Nothobranchius furzeri: one gene and its partner. The protein of the gene in region 1 purifies or fractionates together with the protein of each later gene. This does not show direct contact. Links are inferred from orthologs where the notes say so. Each region holds a gene or a part of one and is shown in the gene's direction. Other genes may lie near its edges.

Region 1 (4,375 bases):
ACCATAACAGCAGTAAATCCTGAGTGAGCATGAATTAAACCAAAGTTTTATCTAAACCTGAATGATTTTCTGTGGTGGGACTTTCAGAGTCATGCATAAAGTAGCGCCTGCAAACCTCAATGAAGCCCAGCAGTGCTAGTAATGGTGCTGAGGCTGGTTAGTGTTTTGGTTATTTTATCTCCTCCATTTAAGACATCTTCAGTGGAGAAGATGGAATTATTTATGCCCACACTCGTGCATGTTAGGGGGTAAACTGATGTATGTTCCTCATGTTTGTGTGTTTTGTGCACATTTTAGAAAGAACATGCAGGTTTCCCCAGAAGAACGGGTTTTCTGTCAGCAGCAACACAAAAATCACTGGAGAGGAAGAGAGAAACCATGTGAGTGTGTAGCTGGTAAAAGTTCACGTCTGTCTCCATCACATCTGCAGAAGATCTGTTGAAGTCTTAACACATTTTAATGCTGTTCATGGAAAACTTCTTAATACTCCACAGGTTAGCAGAAGCTACAGAAAATGTCTCCGTCAGCTACTAAAAACGTCTTCTCTTCCCTCCAGGATACAGAAAAGGGCTTTGGAACGGCACAGGGGAGACACGACAAAGACTGGACAGAAGTCTACATTCACAGTCGAGAGACCTCAGGAGACGAAACGAGGACAGTTCAAAGCAAATCCTCAGAGACTCCCCACGAGCGCCTACTCCTCGAGACCTCGATGACACTTCCCTAATTGGCCCCAGTGAGAACTCTAACAAGGCCTCCAGTGAACTACATGAAGAGTGTGTAACAGATGTTTAAAATCTTACATTCAAATGGATTCTGCGTTTTCAGGAGCTAGTCTTAGTCTTTTTTTATAATAAAAAATGCTTCAAGTTCCTTTTATTCATCTTGTTCGTGTTTAGAAGATGCTGAGAAAACAGAAGCGGATCTGACGTGGTGACGACATCAATAGAGACAGTTTAGCCACGGCAGAATGAAAACTAATGTAGGAGAGCAAATTAGACCCATTTCAGAGAACCACTTCCTGTGCAGTCTGGCTCACCTTTGTAGCTCATTGGGATGCCTGATCCTAAATTAGCTTCAGCTGAATCCACATATTTGTAAGGGGACCCTGGACTCACTTGGACCTGTGAGAAGAGATAGTTGAGCGTTTTTGTCCCCTTTTATGTGCCTTCAGCCAAAATTAGACAATCTTTTAAACATATTAGCACATTTTGACCCTTAATTTTGATAATGATGTGCTTTTGTAACACATCAGCATGTTACTGCAGTGGTCTGCCCGGTGCATCCTTAAAAGATTTGTACTGGTTTGGAATATTAGCCTAATTGTGTTTACACCTTTATACTTAGTTCTTGCTTTTGGATATTTGATAATGTTGGTATATTATGTTTTTGTTTGTTTTTCACAATAAAAGTTTCTCCGGGTTGATTTTGTGGAGAAAGACGCGCATGCGCCCTCCGGGCGGCAGGGGGCGCTGCTCGCTGCCTCATCATCGCTCGGCTAATATCCGCTCAGCTCGCGCTGAGGAGATGAGATGAGCTTTGTTTGTTGTTGTAGCTCTTCGGGTGTCAGAGCAGAATGGAAGGAAATGCAGAAACTGGTAATTCTTCTCGAGCCAGAAGGAAAGCTTTGGACAAGGCTAAAATACTTCAAAGAGAACGGGAGAGGAAGATTTTCAGACTGGTGAGATGAGAGAAGGGTAACAATAAAAGATGGCAGCGCTAGCAAGCTACATTAGCAGTAAACCAGCGGTTTCCCGAAGTTCTGCAGACATGCTGATGCATCCCACCCACTAAACTACAAATGTTCACGTGTCAGAATCCAACAGTTAGGCTGTAAACGTCATTAACATCTGACCAGTGTCACAACGTGTGGTATTTCCCATGTTTCTGCTGCTATAATGGAAAACAAGTCGTTATTTTATCTTAATGCTTGGACCCAAAACTCCTCCACAGTCTGGGGAAGGAAAAAGTGGTAGTGAGCACATCTCTACGTAGCACCGGTAAACCTGCCCGGTTCTCGCTGCAGGTCGGACAGGTGCTGAAGAAGCCGGAAACGGAACGGTCTAAGGAAGAAGTCGCTGCGCTTGTCCTGCACAGAGAAACCGTGGATGAGGTGTGCAAGAGACAAATCCGCAGGAGTGTCCTCAAGAGGAAGCAGGAGGAGGTGAGACTCAAGGTTAACGTCGTTAGGGACAGGTGAGCCCACACCTGTAGCAAATCATTCAAGTGCAACAAATGATCCTAAAGTTCAAAAACTGCTATTTTTATGAGTTTATTTTAACTATAGTTATATTTTAATTATCATACCACACAATGTGTCTGGTTTAGTGAAAAAGTTTGATCAAATGTGTTTTTAGTTGCTGCTCAGTGTCGCAGTGGTTAGCGCTGTTGCCTTGCAGCTAGAAGGTCTTGGGTTAAAATCCCAGCCTGGGGTTTGCATGTTCTCCCCAGGTACTCCGGCTTCCTCCCACAGTCCAAAGCATGGCTGTCAGGTTGACTGGTCTGTCTAAATGGTCCTTAGGTGTGTGTGTGTGCTCGGTTGTTTGTCCAAAGGGTTCAAATGAAGTCAGCTGGACTTCTTTGGTTTCTTGAAGACGTTTAACTTGTCATCCGAGGAGCTCTGTCAATTCTGACTGGAACGTGGGAGAGTCAAGCTCATAAGCTGTAGCCGTCTGTTGTTATTTAATGAGCAGAAACTACTCTGAATATCCCGCGTCTCCATCCCCTGATGAGTCGTTGGCCTCTATTGAGAGGGAGTGGTTGTAGTAGAGGCTAACGACTCATCAGGGGATGGAGAGGGAAGTCTGGGCGTCTCTGCTTAGGCTGCTGCCCCCGGGGACCCTGGATAAGCGGCTGAAGATGGACGGACAAAAGAAAAAATCAGGATTTATTTTCACAATAAATTCAAGATATCATGTTTAACCAGAATTACACATTTATCATTAAACGCGCGATGTTTGACTCTGATTACCTGCTTGTTTATTCTCAGGCTCTGTTCTTGTGCTGTTTTCAGGTGTTTGATGATGCTGATGAGTTGAAACTCAAAGTCAAACAACTGGCTGAGGCGGTCAGGGAAGCTCATCACCTGGTGGTTTACACTGGAGCTGGTATCAGCACGGTATTCCAAACCTCCCCTATTTGTTGCTCTTGTGATTTAGAAACCTTCAATGTACCAGTAGTTTCTCGTTTTAGGCTGCTTCTATCCCAGACTACAGGGGCCCTAACGGGGTGTGGACGCAGCTGCAGAAGGGAAAGGCAATAAGGTGAGAGGCACATCTTTATCAAAAAGCTGGTCATAGTCTGGGTTTCAAATTTCTGTCGTTTCTTCTGTCCCAGTTCGTCAGACTTGAGTAAAGCTGCACCGACGCTCACTCACATGTGCATTAGGATGCTCCACAAGGAGAAGCTGGTATGTGAGACAAGTTTGGATGGTTTAGAAAGGTTGGACCTCATTTCTAAAGCTACATTTAATTCTGTCTGTTTTTCAATCAAGGTGAAGCATGTTGTGTCACAGAACTGTGATGGACTTCACCTGCGAAGCGGTCTTCCCCGACACGCCCTCTCTGAGCTTCATGGGAACATGTACATTGAAGTAAAGCCTGATTTTTTACTTCTCCGTCTGCGTCGGCACAAGGGCTCTGACAGGGTTCACAGGGGGTGATGGTGACATGCCCAAAATTTTAAACATCCGTAGAAAGTGATGGAGAACGCAAGCTTGTGATTGGTCAGGACGCCGCTTTCTGTAGATTCGTCACCAGCTCCGCCGTTGCCCTGTTAAAGAGTAAAGCGATATTTAGCTGCAGACCCAGAACAGATTGAAGATTGCATCGTGGAAAAAGTCAGAAAATATCAACGTTTATTCACCCGTGACTGAAGGAGTACAAAATACGGAACAAACGTGGACGAGAGCGACAGGAAGCGTGGGTTTAGAGGTGGCGAGGGCATGAAGAGCTGGAGGAGAATGGACAAAATTGTCCGTGTTATAAAGTCTCTGAAACACATGAAGACGTTAGTAAACACGTGTACCGGATACAGGAGTTTTATGGTGGCAGGGTACCGCAGAAAAGAGCTACGCCCTCTGCTGTGCTGGCGGGGAATTGCTTATCGATGCTCCGCTGCCTGAACAGAGGGTCGCATATGAAAACCTTTCAAACTTCATGTCAGGAATCTTGGCGTGACCTTTGACCCAGCTCTCACCCTGGATTCTCATGTCAGTTCTCTTGTTCGCTCTTCCTTCTTCCATCTCAGGAACGTTGCTAAGCTGAGTCCCATTCTGTCTCGCTCTGAACTTGAGACAGTTCTCCACACCTTCATCTCCTCACGCTTAGACTACTGTAACTTTCTTTTCACGTGTCTGAGCAGAACCTCCCTGAAC
Region 2 (3,814 bases), on another chromosome or scaffold:
AGATATTTGAAGAATGCCGAGGGAGTTTATAGAAGACGGATGGCTATCCTGTTTGCAGCACGTGCAGAAAAAGTGTCTGTGAAAGGCAGCAACGCCTCGGAGAGAGACCAACTCTTATCTGCCCCTGGGAGCCCCGTAATGCATAGCATTATTTCAACATGGCGGTGTCCGCGACACGGTTTATATGCAGGTAGCGGCACTGCGGCTGCTTTATATAGCGACTCGTTGCATTCTCCCTCAACCCAAATCCTCGGATCACGCATTTTAGCTAAAACGCTAACGTTAGCTTGCCTTACGTTGACTGTAGAGTTGTGGGTGATGGTCACGCAGATGTGTCATGAGATTTGAAGCGTTGCTGCCTTTCACAGACACTTTTTCTGCACGTGCTGCAAACAGGATAGCCGTCTTCTATCAACTGTCCCTCGGCATTCTTCAAATATCAAAAAAATGCCCGTACTTCCCACTTTGTCTTCTTTGAGGGATAATAAATGTCCTGAGCACTGCCGTCTCCTCCTTTGGCCATTATTTCAGCTTTAGCTTCAAGAAAGTTTTGGTTGTAGACAACAAAGCGCGCATGTGCCGCCGGCAACATCAGCAGATGATACGGTGGCTGGTAAGGGTCACCGCACCTACACCGCAGCCACGGTAATCCACCGAGATAATATACTTTTTAAAAAACAAGACGGTTATTATTATTGCCAACTTTTTTTACCGGGGTTTACCGCTACACCGGTTACCGTGACAACCCTAATTGAGAAACGCCCTAGGTAGTTGGCTAATGCTGGTAGCATGTTGGGCCCTTCCCTTGCTGAAATGATTCACCACAACAGTAGCTGTTGTATGTGGAGCGAGTAAGCTAGAGAGTGTTTGAGCTCTAACTTGTGTGTTTTTTGTCAGGAGTGTTTATCTGCCGAGGGAAGGAGGATGCTCTGGTGACCAAGAATATGGTTGTAGGAGAGTCTGTCTATGGGGAGAAGAGGATGAGTGTGGAGGTGAGAGAGAAGTTTTGTCTGGATTGCATCACTAATCGCTTTTCCTTACAATGATAACGGCTGGGTGTCCATCCTTTAGGAAGGGGAGACGAAGATTGAGTACAGAGCATGGAATCCTTTCCGCTCAAAGTTGGCTGCTGCCATCTTGGGAGGAATTGACCAGATCCATATCAAACCTGGAGCCAAGGTCATGTATCTGGGCGCTGCCTCTGGTACCACTGTGTCTCACGTGTCTGACATCGTAGGTCCGGTAAGTTCAACACTCAGTGCGACGCAACTAATGGTGTGTTGTGTGTGTGTGTGTTTACAACAGTTGTCAAATACAGACCTTGACCAAAATGTATTTATGTGTGCACTAGGGTTGGGCGATGGGACGAATTATTCGACCATCGACGATGGCTTGAGCCATTAGTTGTTTTTTTTACAAGAGGTGATTTGTTTATTTGGCCTCGAGTAAGTTTGTAGCACGTTACGCACAGAGAACATCGCAGAGCTAACAATCAAGAAAAGTTTTCCTGCAGCACACATGAGCATTATCTCACATTTTCTCTACATTTGCAGGTGTGGAAACTTTTAACTGCCTGAGCGCCATTGGCGGTAAATGTTCTTGTCGAGCAGTAAATAATTGACGACTTACCGCCCGGGTGGTGCCCAAGCTTTGTTTGTCATTTTTACCGGCGTTCACCTCCCCCTGTGTCCACACGTTTGGGATACATCGTGGCCGTGCCCTGGGGGTGCAACCAACATTGATCCGCAATCCGTTCAGATCTCGCTCTACGGTTGGGCGCGGTTCGCAGATCGGCCACGTGAAGGGCGGAGGCACTACCTGTTCCATTTAAAGGAGAAACGCTTGAAGAGGAGAGGAGCTTGAAATACCTCCTGCATCATTTAGGTTGCATGTATGGGAGAATTTTGACTCCCTGTAAAACACAATGATGATACAAACGGCAAGAATTTACACACGCACGCTCCTGCAGTCTGACGGCTCAGTAGCCTGCAGGTACAGTGTGTGTCACACACTCCAGTTAATGCAAGAGTGCAGAGGTGTGGACTCAAGTCACATGACTTGGACTCGAGTCATTATTTTAATGACTTCTGACTTGACTTGATAAAATCTATAAAGACTTACAACTTGACTCAGACTTGAACACCAGTGACTTGCGACTTGAATCTACTTGCATCTATTGACTTGATGATGACTTGAGCATATTAAATATTTTAGCACAAAAGTGGCACGACATGGACAAAAATCATAAATCATTCTTCATTCTGGGTTTGATCTTGCTCTGCTAAATGCAGCAGCACTTTGTTCATAATCAACTTCAGTTGCGCTTTCTGCTTGTTTGAGCAAGTAAATGAAGCTTTAAGAAGCTTTATTTCTGGAATTTATTTATTATCATTGTCATTAAATTGAAGTTGGACAGATGACTTGAATATGACTTGAAAATTCAAAGTTAAGGACTTGACTTGGACTTTCACATCATTGACTTTGGACTCGAATTGGACTTGATTGTCTTTGACATGGACTTGACTAGAAAGACTTTGTGACTCGCAAAGCAGTGACTTGATCACACCTCTGCAAGAGGAAGCCGGCTCTGAGAACCGTTTCTTTTGCGACTCACTACATCATTTCCTTTCCTAATGTCCTGAAGTACAGTCCGGGGCGCAGGCGGAATGTTTTGCTAACCTGCAGGAAATGTCAATGAAAGTTACCCAGAAAGTAGCTAAGGGTTACCGTAAATGTTTCTAGGGTGTTCGCTAGGTACTTTTAGGATTTAAAAAGTCAAGAAGGGGTCTGAAAAGCTGTTGGAAATGGCGACAAAGTAAGTTTATGTTTATTCATTTATCAGACTCTTTTATCCGAAGCGACTTACAATTTATAACCTATAGGGCATGTTGTGATCTGTGGGGGAAACCGGAGTACCCGGAGGAAACCCACGCATGCATGGGGAGAACACGCAACTCCACGCAGAAAGGCCACAGCCGAGCTAAGTTTCGAACCTGCAACCTTCGTGTTGCGAGGCAACAGTGCTAACCACTGCGTCACCATGCAGCCCATGGCAACAAGTTGGCAAAACTGTGGGAGGAGCGCTTGATTTGCAACTCGGAGTAGTGGAAGAGAGAGGAGCAAATAATCGGCTTGTTTTGTTTTTATAATCGTTCAAAACTCAGATCATAATTGTGATTAAAATTCGATTAATTGAGCAGCCCTACTTGGTACAGGTCTAGAGGGGATCAGGCTTTCTTGGTCTCTGGAATGAGCTTCCACTTGGTATCAAACAGAGGGCTGTAGCGAAGCCTCGATGACGTTGACGGCTCGATTCTAAAAATTTGTCGACGTCAGATCCGGTAGTCGACGCACCACGCCCACTTGTTGCATCCCCAGGAGTTTGTAAATAGAGGAGGAATCTGCCTGTTTTTCCTCTAGTTCGCCCTCTTCTCCGCCTTCACTAACATCTCCACCAAATACCAAAGACCCGGAACAATGTCCGTCCGCTACTAGATTGCTTTCCTATTTTGCCCGCCTTCGTCTCCCGGCAATGGACAACAACTTCCGGGGTCAGATGCGCTGCTCCGTCTCTACCACAGATGTAGAAAATCACCGGGAGCGTTTCTCCCTTCATAAAGGAGCTTTTTTCAGACATTAGGAGAGCTGTTTTGGTGGTAGCAGTCTCTCCTCCGTGCTGGTCTGTTTGCTGGGTGTTTTTGGTTTAGTTAAACTTGGTAACTTGAACTTAAAGCTGGTAAAGCTACTGTTATCATTTTCGCTAACAGCTTCTTGCGTTTGCATAAGCGGTTACGTTTTGGTTTAGAGTTCATCT

What was found.
Region 2: the proteins of sirt7 (region 1) and fbl purify together in Homo sapiens (affinity purification with mass spectrometry; 3 studies listed by BioGRID, with this or other methods). This does not show direct contact. The link is inferred for Nothobranchius furzeri from reciprocal best matches to the Homo sapiens genes SIRT7 and FBL.

The regions. Positions count from the first base shown.
Region 1 is NC_091746.1:22,679,014-22,683,388, reverse strand, and holds the start of sirt7 (NAD-dependent protein deacetylase sirtuin-7), read left to right. Parts: upstream 1-1,463; 5' UTR 1,464-1,576; coding exon 1,577-1,681; intron 1,682-2,026; coding exon 2,027-2,164; intron 2,165-3,013; coding exon 3,014-3,118; intron 3,119-3,192; coding exon 3,193-3,263; intron 3,264-3,336; coding exon 3,337-3,409; intron 3,410-3,493; coding exon 3,494-3,592; intron 3,593-4,375. Other genes in the region: uncharacterized protein cp110, read left to right, coding at 298-380, 557-716. UniProt on the Homo sapiens protein: NAD-dependent protein-lysine deacylase that can act both as a deacetylase or deacylase (desuccinylase, depropionylase, deglutarylase and dedecanoylase), depending on the context. Specifically mediates deacetylation of histone H3 at 'Lys-18' (H3K18Ac).
Region 2 is NC_091745.1:58,454,743-58,458,556, forward strand, and holds part of fbl (rRNA 2'-O-methyltransferase fibrillarin), read left to right. Parts: intron 1-897; coding exon 898-992; intron 993-1,071; coding exon 1,072-1,242; intron 1,243-3,814.